2 linked regions of the Sus scrofa genome follow. The protein of the gene in region 1 purifies or fractionates together with the protein of each later gene. This does not show direct contact. Links are inferred from orthologs where the notes say so. Each region holds a gene or a part of one and is shown in the gene's direction. Other genes may lie near its edges. The genes, in order: ANAPC13 and ANAPC7.

What was found.
Region 2: the proteins of ANAPC13 (region 1) and ANAPC7 purify together in Homo sapiens (affinity purification with mass spectrometry; 3 studies listed by BioGRID and IntAct, counting the BioPlex papers as one, with this or other methods). This does not show direct contact. The link is inferred for Sus scrofa from reciprocal best matches to the Homo sapiens genes ANAPC13 and ANAPC7.

Annotation. Positions count from the first base shown.
Region 1 is NC_010455.5:75,602,164-75,606,646, reverse strand, and holds the start of ANAPC13 (anaphase-promoting complex subunit 13), read left to right. Parts: upstream 1-1,631; 5' UTR 1,632-1,655; exon of another isoform or gene 1,656-1,706; intron 1,707-2,028; exon of another isoform or gene 2,029-2,080; intron 2,081-2,359; 5' UTR 2,360-2,386; coding exon 2,387-2,485; intron 2,486-4,483. Other genes in the region: CEP63 (centrosomal protein of 63 kDa), read right to left, coding at 500-534. UniProt on the Homo sapiens protein: Component of the anaphase promoting complex/cyclosome (APC/C), a cell cycle-regulated E3 ubiquitin ligase that controls progression through mitosis and the G1 phase of the cell cycle.
Region 2 is NC_010456.5:31,779,686-31,783,497, reverse strand, and holds part of ANAPC7 (anaphase-promoting complex subunit 7), read left to right. Parts: intron 1-2,680; coding exon 2,681-2,800; intron 2,801-3,812. UniProt on the Homo sapiens protein: Component of the anaphase promoting complex/cyclosome (APC/C), a cell cycle-regulated E3 ubiquitin ligase that controls progression through mitosis and the G1 phase of the cell cycle.

The DNA of each region.
Region 1 (4,483 bases):
AGAGTAGTCGCTGACAGCGGACTCATCTTTACTGTTTCAAGAAGCATAAGAAAAACCTCATTATAAGCCTAGATTTACCGCCTTAAAGTATCTTGATGATTAAAGTGTTCTAAGGACCTATACCTTTTATTTCCTCAATTTATCATTTATTTCCCATCCCTGATTTGTATGGATCCCTAAGTCCAGGGTTCCCCAATTGAGTCCTTCATGTTTTCTGCCACATTTCTGTACCTCCAATACGTTTTTAACCAACTCACTTTTTAAAACTTGCTAAACTTCCCACCCGTGAATGAACCGCTATCACCTGCCATCAATGACCTAAGTCGCAACAATGCTAAGAAGCTAACCAGATGAGGCAGCCCAGGCGAGAGGGCCTTGCCGAGGATCCCTCCCCTGAAGTGGAAGAGTGGCCCGCGGCTAACTCCGCTCCGGGAAGACGAGCAGCTCGCCCACCCCGCCGCCCTCCCGCCGGCCCGGTCTCTAGGTAAGAGCTGACCACCTGGCTGGCCGGGACCGCACGCCGAGGGAGGCCATATCCGGCTTCGCGGGTCAGCCGGGCGTCAGCGAAAAGGCCGGGGGGCGGGGCGCCGGGGCGGAGCCGGGCCGGCGGGGGCGGGCCTGGAGGCCAGCGGGCGGCTGAGGAAGCAGGCCCCAGGCCATTCGGCCGCTCGGCCCGCGGCCCCACCGCAGCCAGGGCTACCTCCAGGCCCAGAGACGGCCGCCCCTCGCCCGTCCGACGTTCGCAATGCGGTTAAGGGCTGCCGCGAGCGCTCCCCGAGCCTTCCCGCCGTTACCTACGGCTGGGGGTGCGCACGCGCGGCACCGCCAACCTGACGTCCAGCCACAGCAGTCAGCACGTTCGTTTTGCCCACTGCTCCTTCACTTTTAATTAAAACAATGTCCTCCCTAACTCCCCCTGTGCTCCGGCAAATGGGCTCACCCACATCCGGGGATCGGAAAGTGAAGGACGTCTGGGTCACGTGATGCTGAGGGCGCGGTCGGCGGGGGTGTGTGACACGCTGGGTTTGGGGCTGGTAAAAGGGTTTGCGCGCACGTAATGTAGGGTCTGGAGATACGGGAGCGCGTTCGGACTCCTGCCGTTTCTCTTGGCTTAGGTCGTTGTTTTCACATCATCCTCTCCCTCCTAACCACTTCTCTTACCACACGTTGGGCGGGGAGGAGGGGAACTTGCTTGGCTGTCCGGACCCCCCCCCCTCGCTTCCGCATTTGGTATATCCCGCCTCGGGCCGGAAGCCGTGGCTGTGGGGCGGCCTCCCAGGCCTGTATGGACGGTGGTGGCCCGAGAGGGTCATTTCTAGCGAGGGAAAAGGCGTCCCAGTTTTGCTCATGTAACTGCATGTTTCACAGAGCTCTAAAGCAGAGATGAATAAAACTGCCCTCCCCCCGGGAAACGCAGGCGTCTCGTGTCTGGAAAGACCGTGTGACAGGCAATATACCAAGATCCTGATGGGGATCATTCTCTGTGCCCAGAGAACTATGGGACCCGCGGAGGGGCGGGGACTGCGCTCTTCTGGCTCTTAGAGAACGACTCCTGCAGAAGACGACCTGGGAGCTAAATTTTTTGGACAGTTTGGGGTTAGCTGGGGAAAAAAGGAAGAAGACAGAGCATTCCAGGCATTGGGACAGTCGTATGTGTAAGAAAACTTTGTTCAGGAAAGTGGTAATGCTTCATTCTGTTGAGTGAGGCAAGTGTTTGAGACGTAGTCATTTCCTGGTCATTGCCCCTCTTTGCCCGTCTTGTGCTTTCCTTTTTTCCAGCCCCTGAAGAGAGAAGGCACCTTAGCGCCTAACTCTGGAAATGGCATGTTGGTTCTGATGAGCTGACGCCAGCTTTGAGTTTGGAAGGAAAAATGGGTGTGTTAGTGATGGGGTAAAGAACTTTGAGTGCAAAGGCTGGAAAGGATAACAGAGTTAGAGGTGTTCGGAAGAGGGACAGGTGAAAAAAGATTGAGGCCAAATTGAGGAAAGATGTGCTGAGTCACTGACAAAAAATTTTACTACACACAGCAATTGGAAGCAGTAATACCTGAGCAGTTGGTCACAAAGTCGACCTGACTTGGTTAGTAGATCATAAGGACAAAAGGTAGATCAAGGGCAGGATGTGGGCTGAAGCTGGAGTGATCTGAGAAACCCTTACAGAAAGGTGGGATCTGTGTGTGACTGGGAAAATCAGCTGGAAGGGACTGTGATCTTGTAAATAACCTGACCCGGATGAGATGAGTCTTTCCCAAAGTGATATCATGCCAAAAGACACATCCAGGCTAAAAAGCTTGGAGAACCCCTAGTGCTAGATTACATCATCTCCTCATGCTTAAGAAATAACCTCTTTGGCTTTCAGATCTGGCAAGAGCAAAGCTGCAGGAAAATGGACAGTGAGGTACAGAGAGATGGAAGGATCTTGGATTTGATTGACGATGCTTGGCGAGAGGACAAGCTGCCTTATGAAGATGTTGCAATACCACTGGTAGGCCCCTGCTTATTCTGAGGTGATGGGTTAAAGGTCTGATATAGTAGAAGTAGGATATCAATGGGCACATAAACTAGTAAAGCAAAGAAATCAGTGCTGTAGAGTCCTCTAACTCTAGAATCCTCTGAAGAACAATTATCTTGTTTTTTTTTTATTTGAAGAGAAATGTGTTTCAGAGAACTGATGTGACCAGCTCAGTTAGGGGTCATGCCAGAACTAGAGCCCAGGTCTTCTGAGCCATGTTCTGTCTGCCACACCACAGGTGGGTTTATCAGTTGACATTTTTAGACACTCACATTTTTGAAACACACACCTATCCTAGGTTCCCTGGAAAATACTCAGAAGACACCTGGCTTTTCTTTTTTTTGCATTTAGACCATCGAGCTCTCTTGTTTCCTGATCTTTGGAAAATTCTGCAAGGAGTTTGTTAAATCTCGTGTTATAAGTTATCTAAACTTTTTTTTTTTTTTTGAATGAGGGCTTATTAAAATTTGTATTTATGTTACCAAGGCCTAACAAGGAGAACAGGGAGTTTTCCTTTAGAGCCTACCAACTTTCCTAGGAAGAGCTGGTAATAGAAGACAGCTTGCAGGCGGACTGCTGCTGCCATTGACATTTCATTTAAGAATAAGTGATAACAGAGTTCCCTGGTGGCCTAGCAGGTGAAGGATCCATCATTGCTGTGGCTCTGGTCATTACTATGGCATGAGTTCAGTCCCTAGTCCAGGAACTTATGCATGCTTAAGGCATGGCAAAAGGGGGGGGCGGGTAATATGTTCAATGAATAATACACATAACACATAACTTAGTTCAAGTTTAGAAAAATAGTCAAAAGCGCATACAAGAACTATAGCTCCACTTATCAAATACCTGTTTTGTGCCATGGACCAAGATCGAAGTCTGACGTATATTATCCCTGATGCTTAAACTTCGGGGTGGTGGTGTTACCCTCAATGTACAGGAAGGATATAGGATCAAAGAGAGGAATTTGCCCAAAGGCTGGTAGCTGATAGGTTGGACTTGACATCTAAGTCTCTGAGACTCCAGATCCTGTTCTGTGGACTTTTTTGGTATCTTCATTCCACAAGCAACTCTTTGAAGCCTACTGTGTGCCGTAAGACTGGGTAAACATAAGTATAGTTTCTGCCCCTCAGGGCCTAGAGATGCAACATAATAAGTAATTTTAATAGTAGGTGCTCTTAGTGGGGGGTGATAAACAGCTACAGCCAGGCAGTAGACATCAGGAAGGGCCTCAGCGAAAAAAAATCACATTTAAGCTGGTCACGAGGAAGGACCAGAGGTTTAGTGGGTAAACAAGGGCCCTCCAGTAAAGGGGACAAATGTGCAAAGGCTTAGAGTTTTGAAAGGCTTTGGGAGATGGTGAAACCTCCGTGTGGATGGAGGGTATACTCGTCATCAAATGTGGTAAGAAAAGTTGGTGTTGGACCCAATTCTGAGAGGAGCATTGGATGCCATGCTTAGCCCTCATCTTAAGGATATGCAGGAGTGAGTGGTCTTCAAAGTGGAAATCTGCCTTCTCACTCACATAGATTAGAAGATCAGCTTAGCATTGTTAAAGAATGTCTGTTGTGGAGAAAGGGTTCAGTGACAGGGCAGAGACCAGTTCGGATGCTATTATAACGTCTAGACAAGGAAGAAAGGGCCTAAACAAAAGCAGGAAAGTGGAGGGAGTTGCTGAATTCTGGACATGCTAACAGCAGAATTTCAGGACCATTTATGTAGAAAGGGTTGAGGGAGAAGGAAATTTCAATGCCGACTTCCAGGTTGTAGCCGGGCCGTATTGCTAATCCATGTCTTTTCCCAGGGCCTGCAGTTCTAAGGCAATGTTTGTGTTAGTTAGCTTTTGCTGCTGCCTAACAAATAACCCCAAAACATAGTGCCTTAAAACAACTGCTGTTTATGTCCTGATTGTGACACTCAGCTGAGAGAGTCTCCTGATATTTGCCAGCTTGGTTGATCCCTGCTGGACTTGGT
Region 2 (3,812 bases), on another chromosome or scaffold:
CTTCGCCTGGGAACCTCTGTATACCGCGGGTGTGGCCCTAGAAAAGACAAATAATAATAATAATTTTAAAGAGGAATGTACTGGAGAAACAGTGATGAAAAACCGCTTAGATGCAAGAATGCGTCCAACTGTGCATTAAGTACTAAAAGCAAAATTCACTGTGAATCTAAAAATAGAATTAAACATGGATTATCTGGGCTCTACCCCAAGTCATGCATTGTTCATCCCTTTTATACAAACAGCTCAAAATCTAAAGTTTTTTATAATTTTACGGCAAGTACACTTTTTTTTTTTTTTTAAATCTTTTTAGGGCCCCAGCAGTGGTATATGGATATTCCCAGGCTAGGGATCAAATTGGAGATGTAGATGCCAGCCTACATCACAGCCATAGCAACTTGAGATCCATGCCATATCTGTGACCTATGCCACAGCTCACGGCAACACCGGATCCTTAGCCCACTGAACAAGGCTGGGGATTGAATCTGCATCCTCATGGATGCTAGTCGGGTTTGTTAACCACTGAGCCACGATGGGAACTCCAATACTCTTTTTGTTTAAAGGGGATAGATTATAGGTACGTCCTGGTATATGCCTAAAATCTGTATGGGTAATAGACATGAAAAATTTTGTGTGTGTGTATGAAGGAAATAAATTAAATAGAATCTTTAGGGAGAGGGAAATTTTTACTTTTCTATTTGAACCTGTCTTTAAATTATACATGCAACTTGGAGTTCCTGTCATAGTTCAGCGGAAAAGAATCTGACTAGGAACCGTAAGGTTGCAGGTTTGATCCCTGACCTCACTCAGTGAGTTAAGAATCTGGTGTTGCCGTGAGCTGTGCTGTAGGTCACAGACGAGGCTCAGATCCCGTGTTGCTGTGGCTGTGGTGTAGGCTGTGGTACAGGCCAGCAGCAACAGCTCCAATTCGACCCCTAACCTGGGAACCTTCATATGCCGCAGGTGTGGCCCTAAAAAGACAAAAGACCAAAAAAAAAAAAAAATTATACGTGCAACTTATATTTAAGAGGAATGTCAGTAGAATGAACTGAGAGTGAAATTATAAGTCATGTTCTATATTTTTTCACATTAAAAAAGATAAAAATTAATGGTTTTTTTTTTTTTTTTTTTTTTTTTTTTCCCCTTTTTAGGCCTGCATCTGGTATGTGGAAGTTCCCAGGCTAGGGTTGAATTGGCGCTTCAGCCGCAACCTACACACAGCAGCTTGCGGCAATACCAGATCCTTAACCCACTGAGTGAGGCCGGAGATCCTGCATCCTCATGGATACTAGTTGAGTTCTTAACCCAGTGAGCCGCAATAGGAACTCGGGTTTTTTTTGTTTGTTTTTGTTTTTTTGTCTTTTTTAAGCCCTTAGATCTTTATCTTGTTTTATTTCTCTTTAAGTAGAACCTTCATTTTTGTTATTGAAGAGCCATTTGCCAGTTTGTCTGTCGTGGTTCTTTTTAGGGCCACACCTATGGCATATGAGATTCCCAGGCTAGGGATCGAATTGGAACTGTAGCCACTGGCCTACACCACAGCCTCAGTAACACCAGATCCTAGCCACGTCAGCGACCTATAGCACAGCTCACAGCAATGCCAGATCGTTAACCGACTGATTGAGGCTGGGGATCGAACTTGTGTCCCCATGTATGCTAGTCAAAGATTTGTTTCCACTGAGCCAGGACAGGAACTCCTCTGTTTTCTTTTTTTCGGCTTTTCTAGGGCTGCGCCCACGGCATATGGAGGTACCCAGACTAGGGGCCTAATGGCAGCTGTAGCTGCCAGCCCACGCCACAGCCTCAGCAACTTGGGATCCAAGCAGCGTCTGCGACCTACACCACAGATCACAGCAATGCCAGATCTTTAACCCACTGAGTGAGGCCAGGGATCGAATCCGAAACCTCATGGTTCCTAGTCGGATTCGTTAACCACTGCTCCACGATGGGAACTCCAGGAGCTCCTCTGTTTTCTGACATTGAATGGAAGTCATGTGTATTATCCACATAGGATTAATCTTAGAAGTAGTTAAATGCTTGAGCATTCAGTACCCCAAGCACCATGCTAAACCTGTCTTGTAAATTAAATATATTCTTCAAGGAATTTTTTAAAAAATTGAGATGCAGTTCACAACATAAAATTTACAATTCAGTGAATTTTAGTATATTCACAAAATTGTACAACCATTACCACTGTTTTAATTCCAGAACTTTGTTATTACTCTTTAAAAACCTTGTGCTCATTATCTTCCCAGGCCCTGGGAATCACTGACCTTTCTGCCTCTGTAGATTTATCTATCCTGGACACTTCATATGAATGGAATTTTACAGTATGTGGCCTTTTGTGGCCAATTTCTTTTATTTAGCATATTTTCAAGGTTGATCCATGTTACAGCACAGAATAAAGAACCAGTTCTTTATTCCTTTTTATTGCAAAGTAATATTCCATTGTATGGATAGGCCATATTTTAACAATTAATGGGCATTTGGGTTGTTTCCACTCTTTGTCAGTTAATGCTGCTGTGAACATTAGTGTGCAGGTTTTTTGTGGACATATATTTTCTGGTCTCTTGGCTATATACATGGAAGCAGAGTTGCTGGGTCCTGTGGTAACTGTTTAACGTTTGAAGAATTGCCATGCTGTTGAAGTGATATTTTGAAGAAATGTTTCATTTCCTCTTAGTGTCTTCCATCTGAAATTGAGGTAAAATACAAAATGGCTGAATGTTATACAATGCTAAAACAAGATAAAGATGCCATTGCAATACTTGATGGGATCCCTTCAAGACAGAGAACTCCAAAAGTAAGTTGAATTAACAGTTTGTTACACATTTTTCTCTTCTCTGGAGTTCTTCCAGCCCTCTTCCTCCATGTTTTCTCTGTGCATTAAGAAGTCCATCTGAACATTTTTATCCTCATTTCTAGTTCTCACTTGGTTATTCTGTTCTCCCTGTTCAGAGAGATAGAAGAGTGACTTTCTTACAAGACCATGAAAATTCAGCTGATGGAAATGGTAGCTGGAGAATACTATAAGTGTTTATTCTTCAGTGTATCTTATTGTAGGAAATATGATTTGCAGTGTTATTTCTAGTTACCAATAATACTTTCTTAGGACCTCATTTTGTGCATTCTTTAGCTATACCCATTTGATTAATGTGTATTAATCTGTTCATTTTCAGAACTAAGACTACAAGATCCTGTTGTACTTATTTGTGTGAGGGATGGTATTGTATTTGATTTGGCAACATATTGTAGTGTATAGAATGCCTTTAACTGATCTGGTATCTTGTCTGAGTTTAGGGCATAAAAGCTGGGCAAGTTACCAGACTGGCTTTCCTTTTTTTCCCTTACTTATAAAATGAAGATACTGATACTTTCTCTGGTACAAATTAAGTTCATGTATGTGAGAATACTTTTCTTAAAGTACTGTTCTAGGAGTTCCCGTCGTGGCTCAGTGGTTGACGAATCCGACTGGGAACCATGAGGTTGCGGGTTTGATCCCTGGCCTTGCTCAGTGGGTCAAGGGTCTGGCGTCGCCATCAGCTGTGGTGTAAGTCGCAGATGCGGCTCGGATCCCTTGTTGCTGTAGCTCTGGTGTAGGCTGGTGGCTACAGCTCTGATTGGACCCCTAGTCTGGGAACCTCCATGTGCCACAGGAGCGGCCCTAGAAAAGGCAAAAAGACAAAACACAAACTTTAAAGTACTATTCTGTAAGGAGTATTATATTGGGCATCTCTTTTTTTTTTTTTTTTTTTTTTGGTCTTTTTAGGTCTGTGGCATATGGAAGTTCCCAGGCTAGAGGTCCAATTGGAGCT